Drosophila melanogaster: one gene and its partners. The protein of the gene in region 3 interacts with the protein of the main gene of each other region in a biochemical or structural test. Each region holds a gene or a part of one and is shown on either strand. Other genes may lie near its edges. The genes, in order: sqd, nej, Art1 and pAbp.

Evidence for each region.
Region 1: of the proteins of Art1 (region 3) and sqd, one has a biochemical effect on the other in vitro, tested with the Drosophila melanogaster proteins (one study listed by BioGRID).
Region 2: of the proteins of Art1 (region 3) and nej, one has a biochemical effect on the other in vitro, tested with the Drosophila melanogaster proteins (one study listed by BioGRID).
Region 4: of the proteins of Art1 (region 3) and pAbp, one has a biochemical effect on the other in vitro, tested with the Drosophila melanogaster proteins (one study listed by BioGRID).

Annotation. Positions count from the first base shown.
Region 1 is NT_033777.3:13,642,064-13,650,096, reverse strand, and holds the start of sqd (squid), read left to right. Parts: upstream 1-3,792; 5' UTR 3,793-4,177; coding exon 4,178-4,344; intron 4,345-5,526; exon of another isoform or gene 5,527-5,738; intron 5,739-6,887; coding exon 6,888-6,928; intron 6,929-6,993; coding exon 6,994-7,268; intron 7,269-7,341; coding exon 7,342-7,585; intron 7,586-7,669; coding exon 7,670-7,798; coding exon of another isoform or gene 7,799-7,908; exon of another isoform or gene 7,909-8,033. Other genes in the region: rin (rasputin), read right to left, coding at 1-1,028. UniProt on the Drosophila melanogaster protein: Component of ribonucleosomes. Could be needed to organize a concentration gradient of a dorsalizing morphogen (Dm) originating in the germinal vesicle. At least one of the isoforms is essential in somatic tissues.
Region 2 is NC_004354.4:9,680,988-9,688,831, reverse strand, and holds the start of nej (nejire), read left to right. Parts: upstream 1-3,164; 5' UTR 3,165-3,282; exon of another isoform or gene 3,283-3,329; intron 3,330-4,680; 5' UTR 4,681-6,225; coding exon 6,226-6,280; intron 6,281-6,492; coding exon 6,493-7,077; intron 7,078-7,189; coding exon 7,190-7,558; intron 7,559-7,622; coding exon 7,623-7,844.
Region 3 is NT_033777.3:10,784,102-10,791,114, reverse strand, and holds Art1 (arginine methyltransferase 1), read left to right. Parts: upstream 1-2,888; 5' UTR 2,889-3,000; coding exon 3,001-3,003; intron 3,004-3,066; coding exon 3,067-3,342; intron 3,343-3,410; coding exon 3,411-3,640; intron 3,641-3,727; coding exon 3,728-4,349; 3' UTR 4,350-4,634; downstream 4,635-7,013. Other genes in the region: Mcm5 (minichromosome maintenance 5), read right to left, coding at 74-190, 254-1,075, 1,134-2,244, 2,299-2,450; Rbp1 (RNA-binding protein 1), read right to left, coding at 5,595-5,712, 6,192-6,508.
Region 4 is NT_033778.4:18,138,574-18,147,245, reverse strand, and holds pAbp (poly(A) binding protein), read right to left. Parts: upstream 7,169-8,672; 5' UTR 6,914-7,168; intron 6,470-6,913; exon of another isoform or gene 6,292-6,469; intron 5,872-6,291; exon of another isoform or gene 5,830-5,871; intron 5,759-5,829; 5' UTR 5,740-5,758; coding exon 5,574-5,739; intron 4,445-5,573; exon of another isoform or gene 4,308-4,444; intron 4,247-4,307; exon of another isoform or gene 4,104-4,246; intron 4,068-4,103; exon of another isoform or gene 3,922-4,067; intron 3,834-3,921; coding exon 2,349-3,833; intron 2,280-2,348; coding exon 2,026-2,279; 3' UTR 1,972-2,025; intron 1,905-1,971; 3' UTR 1,011-1,904; downstream 1-1,010. Other genes in the region: Pcl (polycomblike), read right to left, coding at 8,010-8,405, 8,473-8,672.

The DNA of each region.
Region 1 (8,033 bases), 2.9 Mb from region 3:
TCCTCGGGCTCAGCCAGCGGTTGTTGCTGCTGTTGCAAAGGCTGCTGCTGCTGGATAGGTTGCTGCTGCTGCTGCTGCTGCGGGGGCAGCTGTGCCGGTTGCTGCTGCTGCTGCTGCTGGATGAGCTGTGGTGCCACCAGTGGCGACTGTTGGAAGCCCGCGCTTGGCACTGGAACAATGGGCAACACAGGCGTGCCGGTCGGCTGCTGCTGCTGTACCAGGGGAGACACGCTGGGTGGGACCAGCACCTGCTGCTGCTGCAGCTCCTCGTGCGACACCACACCGTTCTGGATGGGCTGTGGCGGCGGAACGGTGAACTGCGCGGGCAGTGGAACAGCAGCGGCTTGCGGAGCTGGTGGCAAAACAGCCACAGGACGTCCGGCGGCAGCACCCGCTGGCAATGGGTAGAAGATCTGCTGTGGGGCAGCACCACCGGCCGCTACAGGAGCTACCTGCTGGGGCACCACGACCTGAGCCTGTGGCTGCGGAGGAGCCTGCTGTTGCTGCGGCTGCTGGGCAACTACATCGCCGGCCACCTGCACAGCTTGATCCACAGTGCCACCGACGACCTGCACATCGTGCTCCTCATCGTTCTCCGATCGCGACTCGCCATCCTGCTCGTCCTCGATGTAGAGATCCTGATAGCGGAAGATGTCGTTGTGCACGTAGTACTTCTTCGGCGACTGAGCGGCCAGAACGAACGTCTGGGTAAAACGCCGCATCGGCTGGCCATCATTGGATAGCTCCCCGGTGACCTGAACCACCACACCGTTGCCCAAAGTGGCCTGGGCATCAACCTGGCTGATCTTCGCGTGGCAATCGTTGAAGTTCAGCTGCTGGATTCGGTTGTGGATCTCCCGCTGACCGACCACCAGCTTGGACTCTCCATGGATGTACGACGAGTTGTGGTTATAGAAGCGATGCAAGTGGTTGGGCGCCTTGTTCAACAGCGTGTAGTACTGGCGGACAAACTCGCGTCCCACAGATTGCGGCGAAGGCTGCTGCGATTGGGTCGCATCCATGACCATAGCTGGCGTTTGATTCTTCCTCTCTGAACTACGGACTCTTCGACTCGGATTCTTTGTCTCCGCTTCCAATTTCTGCTTCCCTTCTTTCTAGCTGCTGCTCGGATCTATCGACACGGTGGCTGATCTGTGTCGATTGAGAGTGTGGGAACGTCTGCGAAATAGTGCAAAAAATATACGCGCACTATGAAAATCTGTCTGGTTTTTTTAATAAAAAAAAAGAAAAGTTGGCAAAAGTCCTAGACGACTGTGTAGATTTTTCAATCTGATAATTTGAAATTAAAGGAAGCTGCTACCCTGTTTCTTACAATCTCCAAAAGGTGTTCAAAGATGGCTTATTCATACCTGTGCCGGTAAAAGTATAGAAACCATAATGAATCACTAGTTGTGTTATCAGTTAATTTCATCACGTGTAAATTTAATTTGGAGAATTAAGGCTTGATAACGGTAAAACACGCAAATATAAGAAACAAATTTAATTGGATTTTCAGACTGTCCATTAAATCAATCTGTGCTTCTTTTACATAAATTTCTAGAGAAATGTGACTGACTACCAAAGTGTTGACCCCTGCTGTGCTCTCCAATAAGGATCTAGAGTTTCGCTTGGTCACAAGGACGGCGGGGAGGGGGGGAGGTTTGTACACCCAAAACAGGGAGCTCATTTTACCGCAGTGCATATAAAACAGACGCAGCGCGCTGCAGTTTGACCCACTTTTGGGGCCCACACACATTTGCACATGCGAAAAGGGGAAATTTGGTGTAGTGCAGCTGTCAGGAAAAATTCCAATTTGCTTGCCGTCGCAGGACATTTAACCCTGCACGTGCTCCAGCTTTTATGCCTGCGATCCTGGCTGACTGAACTTTGCACGTGTGTGTGTGTGCGCGAGTAAATGACCTCATACAATTTGGCAAAGAAAAAAAAGAAGCCGCCAAGCGAGGAGCATGAATTAAATTGAGGTTATGTTCGGGTCTCAAGGTTGTGGCGCCGCATACAATGAACTCCAGCTTGGCCAAAATATCAAATTGCTGCCTTGCAAAAACACTTGAAATAGCGTTAAAAGGTGTAAGTAAATATCAATGTTTGCAGGTGTCCTTTGCCCCATTTTAGCCATAAACATTTGCCGATAAAACAAAAAATGCACAATGAGTTGCGGCAAACCCACACGCACACATATTCGGTTATGAACGCGCCGCTCTTTCGGGTTCTCTCTTTCCCACTCTATTTCTGCTTGCGAACCGCGTGTGTAGGAAGAACAAAGAAAGCTATAGTTGAAGAGCAGCATTTAAACAAAAATGTACAAAAACAAAATTTTTCGTACATTTTTAGGTTATGCACAAGCGATAATAAAAAAAGCCGCTAAAATGGTAAAAAAAAAAATTTAAGAGATAGAGCCCTGCCGCAATAATAAAATATACGCCCATTTAGCATTTTTTATGTTGATTTTTTCCTAGTATGCGCCACCCCTTTGAAAATGGAAAATGCTAGTTTTTCTAGACCGCGCACACGAGGCCGTCGCCGGCTCACCTTTTTTAAGCGATATTTTTCCTCGTTTTTATTTTTCCTTTTTGTAATGCACAGTGTGTATTGCTTTTGGGTTGAAGTTTGCCGAAAAATCGGCACTTTTTGTAGCACTTTTCTTTGTTATCTTCCTGCGGGGGGCGGGGAGAGTTGGATTTCTTAGTGGAGCGCTGAAATTATGCGGTTTTTTTAATTTACAAAACGATAGTCGAAACGTATGAAATGCAGTATAAAATTGCAAGCTGCACACAAAACACACAGCCACACACACCAATGCACTCACTCGCTCACACACACACACTAGTCTAGTTTGTTGCAATTCTTTTTGTCTTTTTTTTTGAGAATAACTAACTTGGCAATTCTTGACGTGTATTTTTTGTTGCTTTCTGATGTTTGGCGATCACAGTTGTTGTTGAATTAAGTTACGATGCATATGTTGTGGCTTTTGAGTAGAAAATAATCGCAAACGCAATGAAATTGGACAAGTGTGTTGAATCGAGAAGAGAACCGACGTTCGTTCCTCTTTTCCTCTTTTTTGCCTCTGCACAGTTTTATTCTTGGTTTCGCGTGTGTTGGTGTGTGAATGATGGCGGCTTTTCCAAGGGTGTGCACACACTTCTTTTTTTGGGGTGGTTAATCTAGTATGTTCCATAGAATATTTTGATGAATTTGATATTTTCATATTTGAGCTCAATTAAGCTCATTTTAGGGGCGCTAAGTTTCTTTTAAATAGTTTTATAAAACTTATTTTCATTTTAGCCATTTCCGATTTTTTGAGTAAGCTCATGAAACACCTTTCTTTAAAGGAAACATTTTATATAGCAAATAAATAAAAACCATAATAACGTTATATTATAACCTGTTGGGAAATCCGAATATGAAAATTGTATAAATTTTTGCAAAAAATAAAAATATTTAATATAAACCAATTAAATGATTTAAAATATTGTTGATGTTTCAGCCTATAAGAAGTTAATATGAAAATTCGATTTTAAACAATTCTTTGTATGTAAATGTTGTTTTCGTTCCCAACACATAGTAAATAATGAACATTGTATTTTTTATATTTATAAAATTATAAATGTTTATGAAATACTTAATATTTATTTAAATATTTAAACCTTTAATACAACTAAAATGAATTTATAAACCAAGTAACTTGTCCATTGTGTAAACTGGGCTTTAAAATATTTGTATAAAATTTTTGGTATTCTTTTCATTTTCTCTTCATAGGTGTGTGTACATTGTATAAATCAAAGCTGCCATACTGCAAGCAGACAAGTCACGCGCCCATTTAGCTCCTTATATAGGCTTATTTGGGGTGGTATCGTACAGAAAATCCCAATTTAATCCTTGGCAAATGTATAGCTAACAATCTCCAGGTAGAGCAAGCAAATACAATACAAATATTTACCAAAATAATACCAAATCGACTTGACTGGGAAAACATCAAGGTGGCAACGCCGCACCCATATACACACGCTGTCGTTTGCATTTATCATTTTCCGGTCGTCATTTCATTCGTACGCGCGACTTTTTGGCGAGTGTGTATAAAAATCTCCGGCTCTGCGTAAAAAACGAATATCGTGCTGCCTAGCCCCCGAAATTAGTAGATCAGTCGAAAACACACAAAATGGCCGAGAACAAGCAAGTGGATACAGAAATAAACGGCGAGGATTTCACCAAGGACGTGACTGCCGACGGTCCGGGATCTGAAAATGGTGATGCGGGCGCCGCCGGCTCGACCAACGGCAGTTCGGACAACCAATCGGCCGCATCCGGCCAGCGGGACGACGACAGGTATGTCCATTATCCGGCGGATACGTTTTTTTTTTGTTCTTTTTTATTTTTGCAACGGGCAACCGATGATCATGTGCCCCCCATAGATTTTCTGCTTCTACATAGTGTATATTGCCTACTCTGTTACGTAAATGCAAAGCTAACGTCGTTGGTCGAGTTTCATTGGATTTTACGGGGTTCTGCGGGGGAAGTCTGACCCCTTTTGTGTTCTCTCTCGCTTGCGCTCGTGCGTCGGAGTGTGTTTAAGTGTGTGTGTGTGAGGTGTCGGTGCGACTGTACTTCAGTCATATTAATAGAATCTTCGGGCCAAAATGCATCATCACAGTCTCGGGAGACATGGAAAATTTTCAACGTTTTCCCCTGCACACACACGCACTTTCCGCAATGAAAACCAGAGTTTTCTTAAGCTAGGAGCACATTTTCTCCCCTTTGTGAGGTTATGTTTGTTTCCCACGTTGCCCCACAGACACACTGTGACGCATACGAACACAAATCATACGGTTGCCTTTCACTTGCAAAAAATGTGGCGAAAAAAAACGTTGGAAAAAGTTATGTTTGTATTTGTCAGTGTATTCTTTTTAATTCGCATTACTCTTTGTTTCGGCTATTTCGTTGTTATTTTGTGCTCTTCCAGTTTTGTACCCAAAATGGCGGCTGCATACAGGCATACATACCAACCTAACGCCCGCTGTTCTGTAGGTGTGTGCGTGTTTTGCAGTTTTCACTTATTCTCTTGCTTGCCGGCTTCGCTCGCTCGCCACCTCTTTTGCGCGCTCTTACTCTCAGAGAGCGACAGCCGGCGTTGTTTGGAGTTGCCAAGGCGCCAAAATATTAATTTAACGAACAATTAATGTAAATTATAAATGATAAATAATTTTGATGGATTAAAGCATAGAGATAATGATGATCAAGTAGAATGGTCCTCTTGTTTGCTCCCCTGCGTTTTGGTTTTTAGGTCTAGCGTACACTTCATTTGCCCATCCTTTATGATCATTTTATATCTAAGTTTAATCTTAAGTCACACGATACTGTACATTTAAACGATAATACGAAACCAGCGCTGACGAAGCAGATGCAGATTATTCCCCGTAAAGGAAGAAGGACGAAATGGAGAAATTAAATCGAAAATCATAGCTTATCCTGTTGTCTTGTGAGCGAACTAACCTTGTTCCTCTCCGGCAGGTTTTGAGAGAAGTGAAATGCCCCAGGTCAGGGTTTTAAGCTATGCTCAAGACGGATATGGATTCGGATATGGATTTGGATTCGTATTCCTGCCCCCGGCAAACGGTTACGGATTCGGATTCGGATTCGGCGGACTTATACTTGGAGGATATGCAACCCTCTCCACACTCCAGTCTCCAAAAGTCTCCGCTCCGCCGATACTGATGCTGATGGTATTTATCTATCCAAAACTAAAACAAACAAACAATCAGTCAGTCAGCCAATATATAGAACTATCAACACACAAAATTATCAAGAAATAATCTCGATTTAAAATTGGATCCATATGTAAACTGTATACGAGTATATATTGTATTGTATCTCTTAACGTATAACTTGTAAATTACCTAAAAAAAAAAGAAAAACAAAAAAGTACCAAGTAATCGGAGACAGAGAGAGACCGAGTGAAAAAGAGACTCGCAGTTTTTTCGTTTTGTTTTATGAAGCTCAAAAACTATACATTATATATCGCCCGAAGAAAGAAACACAATGAACGAATGTAACGTAACGAATTGCCACAAAAAAGAAGCACAAATCACTAAATTGCAATCGAAATTCCGCCGCCGTGTGATGAGACTGTTCCAAATTTGCCGGGAATCCGCCGAGAACGATGAGATATCTTTCCAAAAAGTCCAGAAATCAATGAGTAACGTACACATCATAGTAAACTATAAGTGTCTGCATATTTTTTCAACATTCCTTTTTATAAAAAAAAAAAAATATAAAATAAAATAAACAGCCAAATAAAGAAAGTAAAACTAACCACAATCCAGCATAAAAACCTTTGCATTCTTTTCTCTCATCCTATTGAATAAAGACTAATTGTTAATTGTTATTTGTACAGACAAAGACTCTTAAGCATACCCAAAACAAAAACTTAATAATTCACTCTTGCATATCTTATATATACTATATATCTATATCTTTCGCTCGTTTTGTGTCTCTCGATCGATCGCTCGCTCGCTCCTCGAACTCTTTCGCTCATTCCGAGTTTGCAAGTATTTTGACACTATCCGATCAATTCTTTGATTGCAATACAGTAACTAAAGCAATTTTTCACTTCAAATTTGGTGAGTTTTTTTTATTCGTTTTGTATTCTTGCCCAGTCATCAAATTCTTTTGCAGCCAATACGAAAATCAGTAAGAGAAGAAAAAATTTAAAGTAAATTAAGAAAGTATTTGCCTCGCGCATCAAACACAACCTATTTTTCGTGCCTGATTTTCCCAGATAAACCTTTTCCTACCAAAATATTTCCCTAAATCTATATTGAAATGTTTTAAGATACCATCAATCTAACCAATTAATCTTTAAACTTTCGCAGGAAACTGTTTGTCGGTGGTCTGAGCTGGGAAACGACTGAGAGTAAGTATAAAACTAAAACGAAGTAAATAAACAAATGCTAACAAGTTGCTTTTCTATTATTTCAGAGGAACTCCGCGATCACTTCGGCAAATATGGCGAGATCGAGAGCATCAATGTCAAGACAGATCCCCAGACCGGTCGGTCCCGAGGATTCGCCTTCATCGTGTTTACAAACACCGAGGCCATTGACAAAGTCAGCGCCGCGGATGAGCACATAATCAACAGCAAGAAGGTCGATCCCAAGAAGGCCAAGGCCAGGCACGGCAAGATCTTTGTCGGCGGCCTCACCACAGAGATCAGCGATGAGGAGATTAAGACCTACTTTGGACAGTTCGGCAATGTAAGTAACCCTAAAGCGGTAGACCTTTTGGAATTTGCCAATAATGATTTACTTAAATTCTTTTTGTTTAAAGATCGTCGAGGTGGAGATGCCATTCGACAAGCAAAAGTCGCAGCGCAAAGGATTCTGCTTCATCACCTTCGATTCGGAGCAGGTGGTGACAGATTTGCTGAAGACGCCCAAGCAGAAGATCGCCGGCAAGGAGGTCGATGTTAAGCGTGCGACGCCCAAGCCGGAGAACCAGATGATGGGCGGTATGCGTGGTGGACCACGCGGTGGTATGCGCGGCGGACGCGGTGGCTACGGAGGACGAGGTGGTTAGTACAGCCGCTAACGAAGCAGTGCATTTTTGCTTCTTATGGAAACCGGCTCTAAACTATATATTTCACACCATCCCATAGGCTACAACAACCAGTGGGACGGACAGGGATCATACGGCGGCTATGGCGGCGGCTACGGCGGATATGGTGCCGGTGGTTATGGCGACTACTATGCCGGCGGCTACTATAATGGATATGACTACGGTTATGGTAAATACAACAAACAACAAAGTAGTGCTCAAAACAATTATTACAATAACAACACGTCGAGTAATTACCATCAAAACAAGAACAATAGCAACAACTATCAGCAGTTCTAAGTAGAGCCTCAGCCGCATAGAGCTGGCCTGGCCAGCAACAAAATCAGAAAGAAATAATCAAACAAAGCAAACAACAACAACCGCAGAATATAAAAACCTTCTAATTTTTGCCATAGACCTGATCT
Region 2 (7,844 bases), on a different chromosome or scaffold from region 3:
TTGCTTTAGTCGGTGGAAATACAAATATTTATTTAATATCTAACATAGCGGAGCGCACTTGGCTTACCAATGAGAGCATTAAACGCAATGCAGCAATTTTTGAATTTTGGAAACAAGGATCAACTAATGTCTAATGAATTCTTTTTATGGCAATATTGGCTGGGTGGTTAGGGAAATCGACCCATTCCTGTGAAAAATAAAAATATTTAATTAATATCTAATAAACGGAGCTCAGTTGCTTACTAAAAAACACAGAAATAATGGAAACGAGCAAAAAAAAAAAAAAATAAATAAATTTGTTTATGAATGTCAAGTTTAGTTTTAAATCTATGCACAACTTACATTACGTTTCGGATTCTGGTGTATTGCTTTTCGGCGGATCTGAATCGTCAATAACCCGTGCAGGTAATTGTTCATTAATATTTTTATTATACATTATCTCATTCTCCACCATAAGCATTAAAGTGCGTGCTCGAGGCACTTTATTAGCTAGCCTATTTTTAGCTTTAAATGATCTATGTATTGTTTTTCTTATTTTGTTTTTTTTTGGCTTTTCCTGGTTTGACTTTCGTACTTTCATGTTTTATTCTAAATTTTCCAAAACGTATTTGTTATTCGATAATTTTTACGTTGTGTGTTTTCTTTGGGAGTCAAAGTAGAAATGAGGGTTTTGCTTGTGGGTCGGTTGTCTTGTGATTGAAATTATGTTCAATGCCTACTTTGTTAAACAAATTTAAATCGAAATACCGAAGCTCACTTTGTTTTTTTTTTATTGATACAAATTGTCTTACATTAAATCTAAAATATTATTTGTGTGCGCAGTTTTAAACAGCGAATACAATAACCCAAAGAGCAAATAGCCATGACACCCACCCTTATGTAATAGCTTTTTGAACACCATCCAGCGGGAAGTCATGCAACTAAAGGCAACTGTTTATCTTTTCTTAACCTAGGTGGCGCCATTTCTATTTCACAGATGGATTAGGCGATACACCGAAAGAAATCAGTAGATGATTGATGATATAAAAAAATAAAATAAATGTATTGTCTCAATAGGTTATATTTTGCATTTTATTTATTTATTAGAACGTTGCAGACAAGAGTTTAAATCATATAGATATCGGCTATAGCTGCTGGGGCTTTCAGCCGGACTTCTACATTATTGTTTACGTATTTAGTTACAACATTATTTGCAATTATTTACATTGTATTACTGCACTTACCTTATTGGAATATCTCAGATAGGTTTTAAAGCAAATAAAATACGTTAATGTAGGATAATTTTTTATAAAGTGCATATGCACTTCTACAAATATAGCTATTTCTTTACGCCTACATATGCGTAACCTAAACCTGAAAATTATGAATATGTTCCCCTTGTAAACAGCAAATATTATCCAAAATAGGCGCTTTGCTCATTTTACTCAATTGTACAACTAAAATTTGTATTCCATTTAGGTACTTTGATTTGCACTGTTTTCTACCCTATGTTACGCTCCACTTACAATAGAGTTTTATCAAATTGTAAAACCAAACTTTATATTCCAATTATTTTTAGGTTTTGAAACTCTTCAGTTCTTCATTCTGCATTGTTATTATAGCACGTTTCATCCATATAAATACACAAGATTAAAGGCAAATGACAATAATATCCGAAAAGATAGCTAGATAATGAATAATTACGCTTTTTAGCTACACAGCGGCCACAATGACAGCACTGTTCCTCGTACGAATGCTAACGTTAAGAAGAGGAAGAGACGAGCGGTGCTGGGTTGAAAAAAACTGGAAAAGGGGGGAAATTGGCGCAAATTGTGCACGCGAGGCGCAGCAGGGACGTTGGATCTTAACTATCGGTTTGTGTTCCTTACTTTGCGGCAAAATTAATGCAACCAATTGCCGATATACTGAGAAAAATGGCATAATTAAATAACCAGATCCAACGCATGTAGTGTAAAAAGTCGGGCATTATTCCCAATCGCAAAAGAGAGAGAATCGGTATCACTCGCTGACCCGTCTCGTTCGAGTCTTGATCGCGGTATCTCGCTTGCACCCACATACCGAGCGCCAGCCAGTCATATGGCCGTCCCGTTCATTTCGGTGACAACGTGTCGGTGTGTGTGCATCAGTGTGCAAGCTTATATGTGTGCGCTGTGTATCTGCAACAAACAACGGCGGCCGCTAACAAAAAAAATTGTAAATAAATACGCTGCCGTTCGACAGCGCGCGAAAATCGAAAAAGTGCTCGAAAAGTCAACGAAAGAGCGCCCCCAAAAGAATATAAAAAATTCCGCTAGCGGAAAGGGGGGAACAACAGAAGCAAGTGGGACATTTATTGAACAATTTGAAAATTAATTTGTTCTGTGCGTTGTTTGCATGACCACCGGTTCGTCGGACAAGGACGACGATAGTGTATCCTTCGGCGGCTGATTTTTCGGCTTGCCTCTCTCTCACACGTTCTCTTTGTCTCTCACGGCAAGAGCGAACGGAAAACACGCTAACACTGAACCCACCAGAGATGCGCAAATCCAATGACTCGATTACTTACGTGATCCTCTGTAAATATCGTTTTTCCTTTGAAGAACTTTAAACTAGATTTTTACGATGGACAAACGTTTTCAAAATTAATGTCTACAAATACTTTTTTAAACAAAAAATTCTAAACAACTGCACTCATTCAAGATGTTGATTTATTAATTCATATTAAACATCTTTTTGGAATACCTATTTGATCTCAAAAACGCTGCAAAGAATATTCATTTCATAATGATGTTGGTCTCCAACCAATGATGTTTCTTACAAAACTTCTTTGTGCACATTTTCAAGTGACCGCATAAAAGTATCGGCGAATGTGTCACCGTCATCATGTGGTCATCTCTGGACTCGCTGCTTCGTTATCTGGCGCGCCATATGTGTGCGCGTGTGTGCGTATCGGCTCTTTGGGAGCGCATGGCGTGAGCGGTCTCGCCGACGCAGAGAGCGAGGGACTAGAGCAAAACAGTGTTCCGACAGCGGTTAACAGCTGTTACGGGGCCAACAGACTGCTAGCAAAGGCATTTATATGGATTTCGGGTCGTAACAGTACGACAACAGCGGCCAAACAGCACGCGAGAGCGACGAGAGCCCACTCGCGTGTTGTGTTAAACAGTCAATTTTAGTGTATTTCCGAGCTCGGTGGTGTATTTGAACGGCTAGCCGCGGTCACACTGAAGCAAAAACATTTTTGGCTCGGAGAACGATTAACACAAGCGGACTGAAATTTTTTTGTTTTAGTGTTGCGAAAAAGTTTGTGGGATTTTTATAAAATCGCCGGAAAATGTGAAAAATATATGGTATAAAACCGAAATTCGGCAAAATTGCAAAGTATAGTTAGAAATTTAGTGCGTGGCAATCGGTGACGGTGGAAAAATAAAAATACCGGCCAAAATCGGGCTGAAATTTTTTTCAAATTTTCTACGGCATTTTCTTGAATTTCGTATTTTCGCCAAATATTTTTGCGATTTTTGTGTGGGCCGGGAAAAATGAAAAACGCTCTGGCGGAGACAACACAAAAAATTTCTGCAATAGAAACTTTGAAACGACGTGAAGAAGAAAACGAAACGAAAACGACGAACGAACACAGAAAAAAAATGGAATATATTTCTGTCGTCTGTTTTTCTTTCTTTTTCCAATGCTCCTCGCACTCGTTGCCGTTTACCGTCGTGTGTATATTGCACACTAATGCCGCTTGGCACTAATACCATCGCATGCTTTCTCTCTCGGACTCGTGCTCGCTCTTGCACGAACTCGCTGTTTTCGAAGTGTGCGTGTGTGTAACTGTGTGGTGAAAACGGCGTTGGCGTCGCTGTGAGAATTCTGTACGCGCGCCCCAAACCCCAAATGTGTGCGTGCGTGAGTGTGTGAAAGCTTTTGTCAGCCAGCCCCACTGCACTCTAGTGTCATCCCGCTCGCACCCCACTCGCCACTCGCCGCCCCAACAAATTGAATTTCATATGATGGCCGCTCGAATGCGGAAGCAAAACCAAAATACGGCCACTTTTTCGGCCATTTAATTTATAAACTAGACTATAGACTACAGCCGCAACTGGCTGATACTTCAATTAATTTTTTTAAGCAGTGCTCTGACTTTTATTACCTGTAAAGGTGTGAAATTTTTTTTCCAAAAATGTATTTGTCATAAAAATGTTAAGCATGTTTCAAAGTATATTTTTGCCAACGACGGCACTTGTTTTCCATATTTTTTAGGGGACTGGCGGCAAAATGAAATTATTATTTTCATTTTCGTGGTGTGCGCCAAAAGAGCGAGAGGCCAACACACACGTCTGCGAGTAAAATAACGAGTACAGCGCTGGTAGTATTGGCGAATAAAATTGCGAGGCAAGAACAGACAAGAGAGAGAGAGAGAGTGAGTGGTCGTCAAGCGGCACACAGATGAGTGCAACGAGACCGAGAGAATTCTCGGTACTGTTCTCGTTGTTCTTCCCTTTTCGCCCCGTCTTCGGCACGTCTCGTCGCATTTTAGTTTCGTTTTGTTTCCATTTTCCCCTCGGTTTCGCTGTCCACTCGCGCGCGGCTAAATTACAAAAAAGAAAGAAGAAAATAAATAAATATTGCTTTCGATTTGTGTTCGTCCATTCAACATAATCTAATAGGCTGTGTATTATTCTTCTTGTGCGTTTGCAGTTAATGTGTAATGCTAGAGCGGCAAACGTCGGCAGCAGCAGCAGCAGCAACAACATCAGCATCGACAAAAACAACAGCAGCGCGCCAGCAACAAAAACAAACCGAAACACAACAAACCCAACAACAGCCAACAATGTGAATTGCTTTTTTTTCCTTATTAATTGTAAACGATAACCGAATCAAGTGCAATCAAAATTAAACACAAGCATATATAATATATGGTCAAAATATCTATATATATATATATATATTCCTGTGTAACAAAAAGCCGCCAAAAACAAATCACATAAAATATGTAAGATAGCGGAGAAAAAGGCGGAAAGAAAAGGAAGAGAAAGAGGAGAGAGCCAAACCAAGAACCGTTCTTTTTCGCTCAGTGGAGGCAGGCAGGCAACAACAGACAAACAAACAAACAAACAATAACAAGAGCCGCCCAGCCAAGGTCAACTTTTGGTGTTTTTGGGGCCCAACAACACAAAATGCACGCGTGTGTCTGCTGCTGTTCGACAAACAACAATTGCAACAACGAGAACAACGACGGCAGCAGCAGCAGCAGCAGTAACCACAACAACAACGACAGCAGCATCAGCAGCAGCAGCAAAAACAAATTGCAGCTAAAAAAGCGCAGGGCCGAAGTCGAAGAAGAAGAAGAGGTACTGGTCAAGCGGACGCAGGATAAGAACAAGCATCAAGAGGAGCAGGAGCAGGAGGAGCACCAGGCGGTGGAAAAGTTGTCTGCTGGCCAAAGCGCCAGTGGCGGCGACAACGATCTCAACGGCGCCGCAACGAGAAGGCGGTGGTGGCTGCGCGATCCTCCAGGATCAGCGGAAGCGGCAGAAGGAGAGGGAAAAGGCGAAGGAGTGGAAGTGGGTGTGGGAGCAGAAGGATCAGCGGGCACAGGTCCGACGACGTGGTGGTGGTCAGCTCCATCCGTTGACGTTGCGGTGACGATAGCGCCGGCTACGTTGTTGCTGTCGTTGCAGCGGCAATTAGCAAAGGAATTATCTAAATCAACAACAACAACTGCAACAAGAACAACAACAGAAGCCACATCCTTAGCAATAAAAAGCGGAGCAGCAGCGTTAATATCATCATTAAGTGCAAGCATCGCCAACATCATCGATTACAAGATCCCAAAACACCAATACCAAAACCAAATCCCAATCCTCGCCAGCCACGCCTTTTGAGTGCCTCTTTGTGTGTTGTGTATTGTGCGTGCGTGTGTTGCAAAGTGTCCAAACTAATCAAGAAATCTACAACTTAAAACACTAAACACTTAACCAAACAAACAACCTGTGCAACAATTGTCAAAGTGCTAGGCGACAAATAATTTCTGAAAGAAGATTTGACAAGTTCCAATAACGAAAATATCAGAACACACTCGAACTCCAACATAGACGGATCATTGGAGAGTTAGTGAAAAAAAAAAGCGAAAAATCAGAAAAACTTTATAAACTAATAGAAACAATACTACTCAGATTTTTCGAACGTTTTTCGTCTGCGTTTCTGTTTTTTTCCGAATCGAAAGAATCAAACTAACTCTATATGATGGCCGATCACTTAGACGAACCGCCCCAAAAGCGGGTTAAAATGGATCCAAGTGAGTACCGAAACCAGAATATTCGATTTCTCATTTTTTTTTTTTTTTTGTTAATAACTTTTAGTTTTAGTTTATCAAACTTGTATTCTCCAGTTATTTCATAATTTTTAATAAATTCCTTACGGAATTGAAAAAGCAATTAATTCTATCCAACTATTTTTTTTTTTAAGAAAATTCCTTGCTAAAAACAATTTGGTTGTATCTTCCTCCAGCGGATATCTCTTACTTTCTGGAGGAGAACCTGCCCGATGAGCTGGTGTCCTCGAATAGTGGCTGGTCGGATCAGCTGACCGGCGGAGCAGGCGGTGGCAATGGAGGTGGCGGCGCCTCCGGTGTAACCACAAATCCCACATCCGGCCCAAATCCCGGTGGCGGACCCAACAAGCCGGCAGCCCAAGGACCCGGCTCTGGCACAGGCGGAGTCGGTGTTGGAGTGAATGTGGGTGTCGGCGGTGTTGTTGGCGTCGGCGTTGTGCCTTCCCAGATGAACGGAGCCGGCGGCGGCAACGGATCCGGAACGGGTGGCGACGACGGCAGTGGCAACGGCTCAGGAGCGGGCAACAGAATCAGTCAAATGCAACACCAGCAACTGCAGCACCTACTCCAGCAGCAGCAGCAGGGCCAGAAGGGCGCCATGGTGGTGCCCGGCATGCAGCAGCTGGGCAGCAAGTCGCCCAACCTGCAGTCACCCAACCAGGGCGGCATGCAGCAGGTGGTGGGCACTCAGATGGGTATGGTCAACTCAATGCCCATGTCAATATCGAATAATGGCAACAATGGCATGAACGCCATACCAGGTGATTAATCGTTCTTCCTTGTAATTGGATATCCAAGTTATCCTAGCCAATGCAACCAAATGAATATAGCAACAATTATCTGAAAACCCAAATTATGTTATATCTTTCGCAGGCATGAACACCATTGCGCAGGGCAATCTGGGAAACATGGTGCTGACCAACAGCGTTGGCGGCGGCATGGGCGGCATGGTTAATCATCTTAAGCAGCAGCCTGGCGGCGGCGGCGGTGGGATGATCAATTCCGTTTCAGTACCCGGAGGACCTGGAGCAGGAGCTGGTGGCGTTGGAGCTGGCGGCGGAGGAGCCGTTGCCGCAAACCAAGGCATGCATATGCAGAACGGCCCAATGATGGGACGCATGGTGGGGCAACAGCATATGCTTCGTGGCCCGCATCTCATGGGTGCCTCTGGAGGAGCTGGTGGGCCAGGAAACGGGCCTGGTGGCGGAGGACCACGCATGCAGAATCCGAACATGCAAATGAGTGAGTTTCTAGTGCCAGATCTAGTGTATTTCCAGCATGGAATTGAATCGATGGCTGATGTAAGATTTCCGTCCGTTTGCAGCTCAACTCAACAGTCTGCCCTACGGAGTGGGTCAGTATGGTGGCCCAGGCGGTGGTAACAATCCTCAGCAACAGCAGCAGCAACAGCAGCAACAACTTCTCGCCCAGCAGATGGCCCAAAGAGGTGGCGTCGTACCGGGCATGCCGCAGGGTAATCGGCCCGTTGGCACAGTGGTGCCCATGTCCACACTCGGCGGCGATGGAT
Region 3 (7,013 bases):
AAATACAAATAATGTGACGAAATGATTGAAGACATATTCAACGATGGACAAGAAATGAAGTGATTAACAGTGTTTAGCAAATTCGATAGAGCATCTTCCGTTGCATCCGGTGCTGCAGCTCTCCACGTCGGATCATGGTATGAATTACCTTCATTACCGTGCGTTCTTCGTATTTCTGACGCAAAAAGTCCTATGAAAAGCAAGCATTATAAATAAAAATTGTTCATTCGATTCATAAGACTTCTGTGCTTACCTGTAAGATATTCTGCTCCGATACTTGAGATCCAATTGCAAAGCGACGTTTCAATTGCTTTTCGATGCGGTTGAGTGTTTCCTGGTCCTCCTCGGTCGTGAATCCTTCGGCTCCAGCCAAGCTGCCAGTCATCGCAGCATCAAGGGTAGACACTTGGAAAAGTCGAAGTGCTTCGTTCACGTGCTCATCTGTGGCGAACGGTTGCAAACGAATCTTTGCCAGCGACTCCGAAATGCGGATGACAGCCTCCAACTGACGCACAGTGATGGGAATGCTTAGCCGCTTGTCAGATGCCTTCTCCTGCTGGCCGGCTCCACTGCGCATAAGCACGTAGCGGCTCTTTAGCTTCTCGCCGGCAGCTTCGCTCAGGCGCGGACCGCAATGAGTTCGGCAGTAGTGAATATACTTCTTGAACGTCGACAGCGATATCTCACCCTCAGCCGGCTCTGAAGGCGCTGACTTGTTAGAGCTCAGATGCACGTTGATGATGTGCTTGGCCAGCGTAATGTCCCGCGACTCATCGTGAATATCCTTTACAATGAAAATCATGTCGAAACGGGAGAGAATTGTGGGCATAAAGTCAATGTTCTCCTCGCCCTTGGTGTCGTCCCATCGACCGAAAATGGAGTTGGCAGCTGCCAAGACCGAACAGCGTGAGTTCAAGGTGGTCGTGATGCCGGCTTTGGCAATGGATATTGTCTGCTGTTCCATGGCCTCGTGAATGGCCACACGATCATCCTCTCGCATTTTGTCGAACTCATCAATACAAACCACGCCTCCATCGGCCAGCACCATGGCTCCACCCTCCATGACAAAGTTACGCTAAAGATTAATGTATCATTTAATTTGTAAGGATTAGGTGTGCAATGTTTTTTCTCACCGTTTGAGGATCCTTCATAACCGAAGCCGTGAGACCAGCCGCACTGGAGCCTTTGCCCGAAGTGTAGACTGCTATGGGTGCCACCTTCTCCACAAACTTTAACAACTGTGACTTGGCAGTACCAGGATCTCCCAGCAGTAAGACGTTAATGTCGCCTCGACGGCACAGACCATCCGGTAAACGCTTACGAGACCCGCCAAAAAGCATACAAGTTATAGCTTTCTTGATATCCCGAGAGCCGAAGATGCTGGGCGCCAGTGACTGTGAGAGACGTTCGTAGATGTCCCCAGAGGCGGCCATTCGCCGGAAGTGCTCCTCCTCATCGGATGTGATGTTGCTGTATCGGGAGATGGCACCCGCACCCTCTGAGTCGACGGTGATGCCCACCACCCTCATGTAAGGAGCACGGACTCCAACGACGGCTTTCTCGCGACCATCCCGACGCGAGGGTTTGCCCACCTTGCGAATGGAGTATATGCCCTGGATAAGCACGCGATTGCCGGGCACCACGCGTTCACAGAGCGAGCGATCGCAGAAGAGCTGCAAGTGGCGGGGAATCTCACCCTGTGGCACAAAGTCGGGGAGCTCTTGCAACTTAAGGGTCTGGAAATCGACGCACTTGCACTTGTCCGGCATGATGAAGAAGGGGTCCAGCGGGCACTTGGGTCTGCCCGCCTGCTCCGTGTTGCACTTCCTGGGTAGGGCGTAGCCCTCCAAACCTGGATTCACTTTGAGATTCGGTATGACCGTGCTGCAGGACAGGCATTGGATAGACATCCGCGTAGCCTTGGCACTTATTCCTGAGGCTGCGACAATGATTCCGGCGATCTTAACCAGCTTGGATACGCAGTCCGACTTCAACTGTCGTATGTTGGTGGGATTCGCATTGGAGCTCAGAAGAATCTGGATGTCGTGCATATGTTCCTCGTGCTCCGGCCGGGGAGCTGTGATCTCGTCGGCTACCTCCCGGGCAGCCTCCTCGAAGATTTCCAAATGCTCCGTCGGCTGCTTGTTCAGCTTGTCAGCCAAGGTCTCATCGAAGCCCACCAAATCCTCCATCTCAATCTCCAAGAAGTAGCGACCATTAAGATAGTTCCTCTTCAGGGTGTCACTGCAGGGGGATTACCTTAAATGGGGTTCAGATGAGGAGATGCAGTTCACTTACCGGTATTTGTAGAAAAAGTTCTCCTCGTTAAATGTCCGGATGAACTCCTTGTACTTCTTCTTTACCGCCTGCAAGTTGATTTGCGCATCCTGCTGGTTATCTCCGCCGAAATTGTCCGAAAAGAACACACCCGCATCGTCGAAGCCTTCCATTTTGATAGGGTAAACAAAGTTAAAAAGAAGAACTGAGGTAATAGACGCTACTTCTGCTTCGCTTTATATTTCGTTTTTTAGTAAATGCGATGTGCGAATATTTTGCCGCCAAAATTACCGGGCAAGCGGTAGCTAGAGATGAGCACTTACCAGTAAAACTATCGGATCTTATTTACAACTATCGATGAAACGTGTTTCCCAGTTTATGTATTTTTGTTAGCAGTGAAATAGGACCAATACAACAAGCATTGCAGCAGTTAATAAACCATGAACGTATTTATTATATCTTATTGATGTTATGACAAAGATTATTTTACTCGATTATATGGAACATGCCTTAGACAACTGACTCCAATTCTTCCCAGCTCAAAAATACTAAAATTTCAGAAAAATCCAATAATATCGAGCTGGCGATATTTGTTTCCAGCTTTTGTGCGGGGGCAGTGTTGATAAGCGACCTTTTAAACTAGCGTGCTGTAGAAACAGTCCCATCATTTAGTCGCCAATTTTTCGACGTGAAAAACCAAAGAGACGCCGAAGAAATTAGAAAATGGTAAGTTTTGGTCAAAATGTGACGGCAATCGACAGGCCAGTAGCTGACGAACCCGATTCGCAGGCCAGCACAGACATTCCCATGGAGGCAGCTGTGGAATCGGCGACCGGCATCACGCCCAATTCAAATGCGAACTCAAACAATGTGGCGAAGAAGCTGCCCGCGGAGGGCTCCACCGGTGATAATCCCAATGCCAACGCCGACGAGATGACGTCCCGCGACTATTACTTTGACTCCTATGCCCATTTCGGGATCCACGAGGAGATGCTCAAGGACGAAGTGCGCACCGTCACATACCGCAACGCCATGTACCACAACAAGCATCTGTTTCAGGGCAAGGTAGGGTTAACTTCCGGGGTTTCCCCATTTTTCGTAGCCCTTCTCACCGGGGTATCTCCTCTTTGCAGACCGTACTGGACGTGGGTTGCGGTACCGGCATTCTCTCCATGTTCGCTGCCAAAGCCGGTGCTGCTCAGGTGATTGCCGTCGACTGCTCCAACATCATTGAGTTTGCCCGCCAAGTGGTCATTGACAACAATCTGCAGGATGTAATCACGGTTGTCAAGGGCAAGATTGAGGAGATTGAGCTTCCAAATGGTATTGAGGGAGTGGACATTATTATTTCCGAGTGGATGGGGTAGGTTTTCATTTGTAGTTAAGCTTTTAAAAAGTGGTCATATTTGATTTAGCATATTAACCATTTTAATTTCTTTCCTTAATTTAGTTACTGCCTGTTCTACGAATCCATGCTGGATACAGTGTTGTACGCTCGGGACAAGTGGCTGAAGAAGGACGGCATGATGTTCCCAGATAGGGGCACGCTGTATATCACGGCCATCGAGGACAGACAGTACAAGGACGAGAAGATCAACTGGTGGGACGATGTCTACGGCTTCGACATGAGCTGCATTCGTAAGGTGGCCGTGACCGAGCCACTGGTCGACGTGGTCGATCCCAAGCAAGTGGTATCCACATCTTGCATGGTCAAGGAGGTGGATCTGTATACCGTGCAAAAGGCCGATCTTAACTTCTCGTCCAAGTTCAGCCTATGCATCAAGCGCAACGACTTCGTGCAGGCATTAGTCACCTACTTTAATATAGAGTTCACCAAGTGCCACAAGCGTCTTGGGTTCAGTACGTCACCAGACTCCACATACACGCATTGGAAGCAAACCGTGTTCTACCTCGATGACCACATGACGGCAAAGAAGAACGAGGAGATCACTGGCACGTTCCAGATGAAGCCCAACGAGCGGAACAACCGTGACCTGGACTTCGTCATCGACATTAATTTCAAGGGCGAATTGTCTCAAATTCAGGAGTCGAACACATACCGCATGCGCTAGGGGCAGCCATAACCAATCCGATCTGCCATTTGGGATGGGGCTCAGAGCCCTGCAGCGAGGATACATACAATGACTAGACGTAAGGTTTATTCCAGTGCGAAATGTGCAACGAATTCGTGTTGCGTCTTCTCCTAAGTTTAAAGTGTACCTTTGTTAGTATACATAATATTTTACACTCGTGCGCCTGTTTAAATTATTATTCGAACATACTTCTAAGCAAGTTGTACAGCAGCACGTCAATTCTCACATAATAAACAGTGCACTAAGCACGTCCCCTTTTGCTGGAAACAAACTGTTTTTGATGATATATGAAACCAATCAAAACTCGCTGATTGTGCGTCTTTATTTTTTAGTAAAAAAAAAAAAGGAATTTCAAGAATGCATCGAAAGATTTATATTGTCATCTGAAGTAAATTTACTTGGATCGCAATCGACATAGGAATTCCTACAGAAAATACGGCCTTGGCCGGCTTGTTCTTTGATGCGACACTGCTTAAACGATATCCTTTTGGAAACATTAATGACGATCCCGAGAATCCGAGCGACTTCGACGATCGCGCGAGAAGCTGCGGCTGCGGGGCGATCGGGAGCGACGTGGCGAACGTGACCTGAAATAAACGCATTGGTAAAGAAGAAATGATTACTTAAAAGCTTAATAAAATTATTTAAATCAGCTTAGAATGGTAAGAAGTGTATGTACATACGCGCCTTACAAAGAGCTGCAAAATAGGAGTGTTAAATACTGCTAAATAGTTACTTAAACTAATTACCAGGGGGAACAAAAATGAAAGCTGTGCAAACTGTTTTGTTTCTATGAATTAAGCTGTGAACCAATTAAGATAAGAGTATTATTGCTAATGCTGCTATTACATTTAGCTGCTGCAATTACATTTACTATCTATTACCAACTGATATCCTATAATTAGAGTTTAAAGCTTTCTACTTTGTCGGATACATATGCAATAAGAAAATGGTCGAACAAATCTATAGTAGCTGTGATCATCAGCGTTAAACGCGTTCAAGGCCAGTTTTCTCGACATCAGAGTCAAGTACTTGAGAAAGCGGACGAACCCTCATATCATAGGCAACTAAATTAAAGAAATAATTGTAAGCAATTATTTGAAGGATACGCAGGATAACTTTAAAAAAGAACTCTTTGGGCGACTGCATTGCTTCTTCTAGGATGAAATCATTTGGGTTGCTAATCAAAACTTCTGTGAGGCTGTGACGCTGAACATGGTTAATTTAGAGTTGCAAGTTGAAGGTTGCTGGCTGTGGCTGTGAAGATGGTTGCTGTTGTAGATTGTTGATGTTGTAGAAGGAAGAAGTAGCAGTGGAAGTAGTTCTAGCCGAAGGAGTTATCCTGAAAAAGTGTCGATAACTCGAATTTAACAACCACTAAATGATTGGATCGTAGATAATATATGTATACAGTTTGTAAGTTTGGTCTAAATAAAGTACCAAGTCAATTTTTAATTAGAAATGTTATGAATAGCGATGTGATGTCAGTTGGACATGAATAAAACAGCCTGCGAAGAAGTACTCATAAAACTGACATTTCGAAGGCTGTTCTATCACGTGCAGAAAAAGGCGGGAAAATGTACATGTTTGCTATTCGCAATTAATGTTTTTTGCGACGATTCCAATGAAATTTCGATAACAAATTTTATACGTTTTGATAAGGATTGATTAATTTTGACGGTTACAGGCAAGACCGCCATCATATGCTTAGAAACCTGAAGAAAGTACCCAATTTTTGGAGTCAAGTGATCCATTGTTCCATTTGGGAGACACATTGAGCCAAGTAACATGAGAAGTACAGTTTTTTTGTCGTGGAATTACCTGTAGCGTCCGGAACCAGAGCGACCACTACTGCCGCCTTCTCCGCGCCGGCGATCGCGCGAGCGACCCGAAGACATCTCTACGCGAATCCTAGTGCCGCAGCAGCGTGTTCCGTCCAGGGCACGCGTTGCGTCTTCCGCGTCACGGCGATCCTCAAATTCGACAAAGGCGAAACCTGGTGGATTGCGGGCCACCCACACGTTTCGCAGGGGTCCATATTTGGCAAATGCGCCTTCTATCTCGTGCTTGGACGCCGAGGAGCCCAGGTTTCCCACGTACACCTTGCAGGCCAAGTCCCACTCCCTATATCGCGGCATTTTTGTCGGGCGGTGCGGTATCGTGAGTATTGCGGGAGGTGAGCAAGCGGCTAAAACACGAGTATACGGGTTACTTATATTATCCGTGCAATGAGCTGTTGTATAAACACTAATTTCCACACTTACCTTCTAAAATGTCATCCAATTTTGTTAAAATTTTAACAAAAATCTCCGCCTTTCCTTTATTTATTACAATTACCGAAAAGTGTGACCAGACGCGGAAATAGTGGTGGCATCGAAAACCGATACATCGCTATCGCCAGTTTCTGATATGTTACATTTTCTTGTTATTAAATATTTTTATAATATTTCTCTAACCATTACAAGTGCCAAAAAAACAACAATTATAAGATATTGCAATTTCATTCACTAAAATTGTTAAATTATACGGCCTTATACAAGAAATTGAATACATATAAAATTAAAAATCACGATGTAACGATTTACAGCTTGAACCGTGGATGAAGTGATCACATCACTAATATTTATTGCCGATGGGGCAGGG
Region 4 (8,672 bases), on a different chromosome or scaffold from region 3:
ATATGGCATCTCATCTCATATGAAAGCAATATCATATATGTATGTTAATATTAAATAGATATTAAACATAAAAATCCATCCCACCCACATTCCGCTGAAAAATGAAAACACTCGCTTTTGCCGAAGTGGAATTTTATTGTAATTAAATTTGTTGGGTGTACAAAGGTATGTTTTAAGGACTTTCTCTCTGCATTTATTACAATTTCTTCAAATGGTTTTAATTGCTGGGCTTTTGCTTCGAAGACGGGCAATCAAGTTTCAAGAATCCTATTTTCTTTAATCATACAAATTATGTTTTATTTCGCTTTAATATATAAGGATACATATATATATCTGCTATATATAGAAGTGTGTTGACTTGCGTATATTTCGTGAAAAGTAAAAGTTTTCTTCTTCGCAATTTCCCTTGAACTAACATTCCAATTCGGGTTTTGGTTATGTTTTTTTTTTCTGTTTTACTCTCATTATTTTGTTTGTTTGTTTTTTTTAAATAATTTTGCATTTTCTGCATACATGTGGTTTTGTGTTTTGCAATTTTTTCAATGATTTTTCCTTGGGTTTTTATTTGTTTTTAGTTTTCGATTTGTTTAATAAAAAAATATGTATTTCACTGCCCAGAGCGAAAGCCATTTCTTACTTCCGCTTGCGTTAATATATCATTTTATGTATGTATGGTGTAAAAACATCATTTACTGGTAAAACTCTCGATATCCTTTGTAACAGAAATCGGAACGCAAATGAAATCGAGGCGACTTACCAGCTCCTTCTCATTAAATACATATATGTTCTTGCAAATGTTTATAAATGTATGCATGTTTTTCCTTCTCTCGGATAATAGTGTAATCATAAAAATCCTGTCTGCTTTTTTGTTGTTTATTAATATGCTTCATAAGTTGTTTACGCTTTAGCGCTTTTCATGTGTTTCTTGTATTTCTCATATATGTTGTGGTTGTTTAATATGTGTGTTGCTGTGTGTGTGTTTTTGTGTTTATATATATTATTTTTTTTTTGCTGTTTTTACATAGGTTTTGCCATTTTTTTGTAGTTTTTTCGATTTATGTTTTGTTTTCATTTGTCAACATATTTTTTCAGCTGTTGGTATTCTGTATTTTCTCTCTTTTTTCAAAGTAGCAAAAACTTGACTCTCATATTCTTGCGGTTTTCTTTTTCTTTCTTTCTTTCTATTCTTCTGTTCTCTGCACAGTTTGCTTTCCATTTTTTCGTTTTTATTTTAACTCTTTTGCAATTTTTTTGTTTTTTCTTTGCTTTTTTAAAAGTGTATGGTTGTCGCGTTTCTTTTTCTAAACAAAGCTTTCTTAAAGTTTGAATTTGAGAAAAAAGAATTGAAAAAAATTACATATCGCTTTCGTGTTTGTTGTTGTTTGAAAGTGTGGATGGAAAAAGTGTACGAAAAACTCAATATGTATGTAACACTAGAAACTTCTTTAAAATTTTTAAAACACAATTTCAATACTTGCAAGAAGCGGTTTACATGTATGCTTTGCTTTAATCTGTTTATTTTGCAATGGTTTTTTGGTGTTTTCATTATACGCATACAAAATAATATCGATCCAGTTAAAGCAATAACGAAATTTTTTTCATTTCACATTTTTCCGTTTTTTTTTTTAATTAACATGTTTATGTAAAAAAAAAGAATTTATAAGTGGACTGCAGAATTTGATTGCGTGACTTTCTTCTTTTGCTTCGTGTACTTGCGTAAATGCGTTCGAAATTAAATGATTGAAATTGCTTTTGTTGATGTTTCTGGGATTAGAAAAGAAAAAGCCGTAGATTTTTCGCTTTGTTTTTCTGTGTTAATTGTGTGTCCTTGGCAATCCTCCCCTGCGCAAAGCATCAGTGAATGCGAATTTTTGTTGTTCATGTATTGAAAGATTAGTGGAAAACTGCAAGGACAAAAGAGAGGCGAGTTTAGACAGCTTGAACTTTTCGGAAAATTTGTAGACTACTTACTTTTTGGGTGTAAAGTGTTCTTGTAAAATGTTCATACGCTTGAGCTGTTCGAGCTTAGTTGGCGGGCTCGGTGACGCGGTGCACCTGAAGCACGGCCACAGCCTCCTCCACCTTGGCCTTAAGGGCCTCCTGATCCTCGATCATGTGCAAGAGCTCAGAGTTTTCGATCTCCAACAACATGCCGGTGATCTTACCAGCCAAATTGGCGTGCATATGCTCAATCATCGGATACAGACGCTCGCCCAGGATCTGTTTCTGCTCCTGCGGCTTGGCGTTGGCCAGCAACGAGGCAATGAGCTTCTCAGAATCTGCAAGAAAAATAGCAATGGTGCCATTAGTGACAAATTGTGCATATTTTCAGTCGACCTAAAACTTACTCTTTCCTTGCAATTGCTGTGGAATTGGCTGGGTCTGATGCAACTGTGGCACTGGAGGATTGCGCATGTTTGAGGTGTACTTATAGTTGGAAGTACGCTGCTGGGCACCGCCAGCGATTTGGGCTCCGGGGATCTGCATGTTGGGTGCTGCAGTTTGCTGGCCAGTAATAGCGCGTGCTCCAGTGTTGCGCATGTTGTTAGCCGCAGCAGCGGCGGCATGTGTGCCCTGCACCTGAGGCTGTGCCCCGCGAGCGCCAGCAGCAGCCGAACGGAACTGAGTGGGCACCGCACCGGCTGTGCCCTGGAAGCCACCAGCAGCGGCAGCTCCGGCCTGGACACCCTGTATGGCTGCTGGGGGACGCACCTGGGGCACCCAGCGGGGTGTGTTTCTCATCTGAGTGGCCACCTGGGAACCGAAGAAACGCTGATTTGACGGAAGGGTCGGCACAAAGAAGCCGCTAGCCGCGTTGGGCTGGTAGATCTGTCCCAGCTGCTGCATACGCATGCCGGTCATGTGACGCATGTACTGCGAGGCGAGATGAGCCTTGCGCTCCTCCTTCCTTTGGGCCAAAGCAACGTACAACGGCTTACTGCCGACGACGCGACCGTTCAGCTCGGTGACGGCGCAGGTAGCCTCGCTTGCGGCATTGAAGCACACGAAGCCGAATCCCTTGGAGCGACCCTCCTCATCGGTCATGACCTTGGCCGATGTGATGTTGCCGTATGGAGAGAACGCGATGCGCAGACGATCGTCATCGATTGTGTCGTCCAGGTTCTTAACGTACAAGTTAACGCCGAACACAGACTCGTGACGCTTCTGCTTCAGTTCCTCGAACTTGCGCTTCAGCTCCTGCTGGCGTTCGGCCTTCTTCTGGGCACGAGCCACGTACAGGGACTTGCCCTCTCCCATGTCCTTGCCATTGAGAGCCTGAACGGCCGCCTCAGCAGCCTCTGTTGTCTCGAATGCAACGAATCCGAAGCCCTTGCTCTTGCCATCCTCCTTGGACATGACCTTGTAGCTGGTTATCTTGCCGTAGGGCTCAAAGAATTCCTTCAGTTTTTCATCGTCGAAATCCTCAGTGAAGTTCTTCACATATACATTGGTGAAGAGCTTAGCCTTCTCGCCCAGCTCCTTCTCGCGCTCCTTGCGCGGGATGAACTTACCCACGTAGACCTTCTTGCCGTTGAGCAACATGCCATTGACTTTGTCGATGGACGTGTTTGCGGCCTCCTCGGTCTCGAAGTGGACGAATCCATAGCCCTTTGAGTTGCCCTTTTCATCGGTGGCTACCTTGCAGCTTAAAATGTTGCCGAAGGCGGAGAAAGTGTCGTAGATTGCCTTGTTGTCGATGGCCCTATCTAAGTTCTTGATGAACACGTTGCCCACACCTGAGCGACGAAGAGAAGGATCACGCTGAGACCACATAATGCGAATGGGCTTGTTGCGAACCAGGTCAAAGTTCATGGTGTCCAAAGCACGCTCAGCTGTTGATGAAAATCGGGAAAACATTTGGTTACTACCGACACGATTTGGGTATATCAAGATCATTATAAGTTGAAGGGGCTTAAATAACAATGTGACTCTTCAACTTCTGCACTGGCCATGAGCAAAAGCAGCGCAGTGCATGGTAAGTCAAGTCTGATCTTTTATCTGGCAACTATGAATCTTAGTCGTGTCAAAAAGGGTTGAATCTGACCAACCAATGGGTAGGAGTTGCTAGATGTCTAAATACAAGGACAATCTTATCAGTCTAATCATGTGATACATTGAGTGTTTGTTATGCAGATGGTATGCAAAACCCATCAGCATGGTAAGTCGCATTGCTTTCTCTGGCAACTATGAATCTTAGTCGTGTCAAAATGGGTTAAATCTGACCAACCAATGGGTAGAAGTTGCTAGAAGCTTAGATAAGAAAGGGCATAATCCTTCGAGTCTAATCATATGATGTATTATTTAGTGTTTGTTATGCTTCTACTTCTGTGGATGGCATAGATCAGCCATCTACATGGTAAGTTGCATTGCTTTCTCTGGCAACATTGAATCTTAGTCGTGTCAAAAAGAGATAAATCTGACCAACCAATGGGTAGGAGTTGCGAGATATGAATCGAAAAAAGAAAAACATTTAGGGTGTTACTAGTCTAGAACGAGATGGTATCATTTTTGAAAGGTCTGTTTTTCCAACCTAACCTTAACAGCTAGAGTTCAAGAAACTTGCTGGAATGCGACAGACTTTCACACGCAGCGTAATCATCACCAACCGCCAGCTTTGTGCCATTGTGCGCTTAATTGAATAAACAAATGTAAGCGAACAACGGGAATCGAAGAAGCACCAACTATGCGCAGTGAAAGTTTTGTTTTCGTTTTTTGTAAAAACAAGATTTTGATGGTTAAAAGAGAGGCCGAAAAGCAGTTCACTGACATGTCAAGAATTTGGAAGTGTTGATGGATGGAATGCGGAGAGTATGGAAGATATGAGAAAGTGAAAGCAAAACAAAAGTTGGAGGCAGTACGAAAACTAAAGAGCGAACGTGCGGAAACTCAGTTAATGGAATATAACCTAAAATAGATGAAGGCCAAAAAGAAATGGTCCAAACAACAATGAACACATGTTTTTGCGCGTCGGCGTGTGCGTGCGCGCAAGTTTGCCGCTTGGAAACAACACACATCACACGAATAAAACGAGAAGAACGGGCAAGGAAACAATGAAACCACCAATGGGCGGGGCTGCGATAAGCAGTTTGGGCAGTATGGAACCATATTATTCCATCATAATTGCAATTTTGTGCGAAATTGAGACGGAAATTTCTAGGCGAACAGTTGATGAGTGCCACGAGCCAGCTGTTTAGCCCCCATCATCCCCCCGCACAAATCGTATACATCCAGAATAACTGGAACTGATATAATCATGTGTGTGTGTGTACACACTGGCGGGAATTGAGTGCGTGTGTGTGTGCGCGACGAGATTAACGTAAGCAGTGCACTGTGGAACAAGTTATGAAACACTTGGAAGCCGTTTATCTGGTCTCCTATGAAAGACATCTTTCAATAAAGTCCAGTTTGGACTTGCGTTTAGCCCCACTGTATGACATGCGCTAGTGTGCGTGCGTGTGTGAGTAAGCGAGTGCAAAACTGCACACGTGTTTTCTTTGTTTCGCGCGGAAGGGGGCTACTTTTGCGGGCAGTAAGACTAAAAAAATTACACTACTTTTGCGGGGATTACTCACCATCGGCTGGCTGCTGGAAGTTGACGTAGGCATAGCCCAACGAGCGACGGGTAATCACATCGCGGCAGACACGAATGGACAGCACTGGACCAGCAGACGAGAACTTGTCAAAAAGTCCCGATTCGTTGACGTCCTGTGGGAGATCACCGACGTATAGAGAAGCCATATTTGGTGATCAGGTCTACCTGCAATTTTTAACAATTAATTTCCACTTTTTTGACACTGAATTTTGGGTTTTTTCTTAATCTTTACGGACCGGATGGATTCGACCAGGCAGGCGGTGAAATAGAAAGAAAAAAAGCGGCGTGGCTTTCGGTCTTCTATTCGTCTCTCTGTCTGTGTGTCTGGGTGGCAACACTGGTACATGTGACAGTCGGTAGACATGGCAACGTTGGCATTTGCTTTGTTGTTGCTCTTTGCTCTCCCCTTTTATTTCTCTTCGTGTTGGAAAATTTCCACACAGACACAAAGATAGACACGCGTTTGCCTGATCGAATTTTGGGGAATTCTTTGATTTTCTCGAAAATATGCGACAACTAGTTCCTAGACCACTATTTTGCGGGCAATCTGGCGTTTATAGACGCCATCTTTGAGCGAAGAACGACCGCAAACAAAGCAAATTTCGATGGGAAAGGAAAATTTCCCTATTCGCTTTGTCGTGCGTTGCGCCCTCTCACTCTCTACACCATTGTAACCAATAGCTTTACACTGTACTTACTTCTCAAACACGCTCGATTTTTTTTGCTACTTTTTACAATTTTTTTTGTTACGTTTTTGTGTTTTAATATTTTTTTTTATTTTTTATATGTTTTTTCTTCACAAAAAATATGTGATAAGCCGTGTGCTGAAAGCGAATCCACGACCGCTCACGTAAACGGACTCTACACGACTCATAGAGAGGAGATTCGTTAGCGATGACCCCACAAAGTATCGATTAAATCCCACTGCACAATGCTGCCACATAGGGTTAGAGACAAATAAATGTCACTAAAAAATCCGTGAGGACAATTTACTAATTACGAAGCATTATTTTGAATTTCAAAAAAGCCAGCCATCACACATAAAAAATTTTTATATTTAGCTAATTCCCGAAACATGAAATACTTGTGCATTTTCAGGGGTTCTTTGGTAACTCTGCTTCATTTATGTTCTGATATTTTCGCCAATGTCCTTGAATACTTTGTCTCATAAAACACAATCCAAAATTAGGAATGCAGTTTTTTTTTCTTTTAAAAATGAGCGTAGACTTTTAGAAAATGATTTTTTGGCACTGCACAGATATTAGCGTATGCTCCGAAAACCGAATCCCATCTTTGTAATTCCCCACTGTGCGAACTTACCTAAATCAGAGAATAAAGCGATGAGGCTGCAAGTCGACACTCCGAGAAGTGCTTGAGTACTTCTTTTCGTTCTCGATGGAAATCGGCACTACAGAGATTGAAGAATTTTTTAAGTTTTTTTTTTGTGTTTTTGTTTTTACGAAATAGACCACATTCAAGGATGGCTGAGGATAATTTTTTTTTTCTTTTTCCCGTTTTGAACGTCTGGTGCATGTGCCCTATCTGGCGATCGAGTACCTAATGAAGCGGTGTGAGGCGTCGGTGCCTGACAAGCTTCAAAGCGAAGTGTCACTTTGGGCGCCTACTGGCGTGTCCTGAGTAAAATCTTAAAAGATTTGACATTTCGGAAACATTTATTTGGGCATTATATACTTCATTAAACATATTTCGATCTGGTTTGGCCAAACATTTACTTGGCTTGAGAATTAGTTTGCTTTCAACTCAATTTTGATTTTTCGTAGCATTTAATAGTTAAACATAAAACGTACTGGCTTAATTCATTATTGTGTAGTTTTGCCTAGACTATGGGTGAAAATTATTGAACTAGTCCTACATTTTATTAAATTTGTGTGTATGTATGTATATCAATTGTTTTTTTTTTGTATGCATGACATGATTTGTGAGTTTTCCCATTTGAAGGTATATTTTTCAAAAACATACATGGGCGTGGCGTATCGCTAAAGTACAGTACTGAACTTAACTGAATTGTTCTCATTATTTAATACGTTTTCATTCATCAGCGAATTTTACATAGGCTTCCAGATTAATCTTGTAATACTTTTACCAATTTTGTGAAAACTTATTTATGTTCTGCTGCAACACTTAACTGCCATTGCACAATTATAACCTGTATTCAGTTGCTTTTTGCTTTTTTTTCGTTTTTTTTTTTTACAATTTAACATTTTATCGCTTTAATGCTGAACCAATATTTTGAACAATCTTTTTCTATTTTGGCAGTGGGTTGGTAATAAACTTTTAAACATTAACAAATAAAGAGGCCCGTAGTTGGCAGCGTTCATTAATACATAATAACGAAAAGAAATGATAATGGAAATGAAGAATATAAAATTCATAATGAGTCGGTATGCCAAAGGGTTCAATTTCCAAGCAATCCAATCGCCGTTGTCGCTGTATCTCCGCCCCACTCCACCAGGTACTGGACCTGTCCATTTCCCATGCGCCGCTTGGCCCGAATGGCAAAGGGCTCACCAGCATCTATGCGATTCATAGCGCCACCAAAGTACTTGTTCACCGACTGCTTCAAGTCCAGCATGGAATGTCCTGGGGCTCCAATGCCGTTGCTGCTGCTGCTGGTTGCCGTCGAGCTGGTGGAGTTCCGGCGGCTTTGGCTGGGTGACTGCTTCTGTGGTCGCTGGCGCAACAGGCGCCCATGTGTCGGCTTTCCCATTGGCGGCGCGGGTGGCTGCAGATCTTTGGCATAGATAGGAAGGTAGTGGCTGGGTATGGGATTGATGGTGGTGGTGCTGATGACCTATTAAGTGGAAACGAAAAAAACATCTCAAACATTATAGTTACATTGTTGTTAGTTAAACTCTTACCTCAATGGCCGTGGTCAGGCGGCGAGTGCGTCGTCTGCGCACTTCCTGATTGGGCCCTATCGTAATGTCTTTGGCACTCAGTCTTCGCTTGATGGTGCGCACCATGCGCGGCTGCTCCTTGGAGGTGCCCTTAAGCTTGAAAATGCTGTTTATGATGCCATTTACTCCGACTCCAGTTCCCACAGAAATACTTCGTCCCT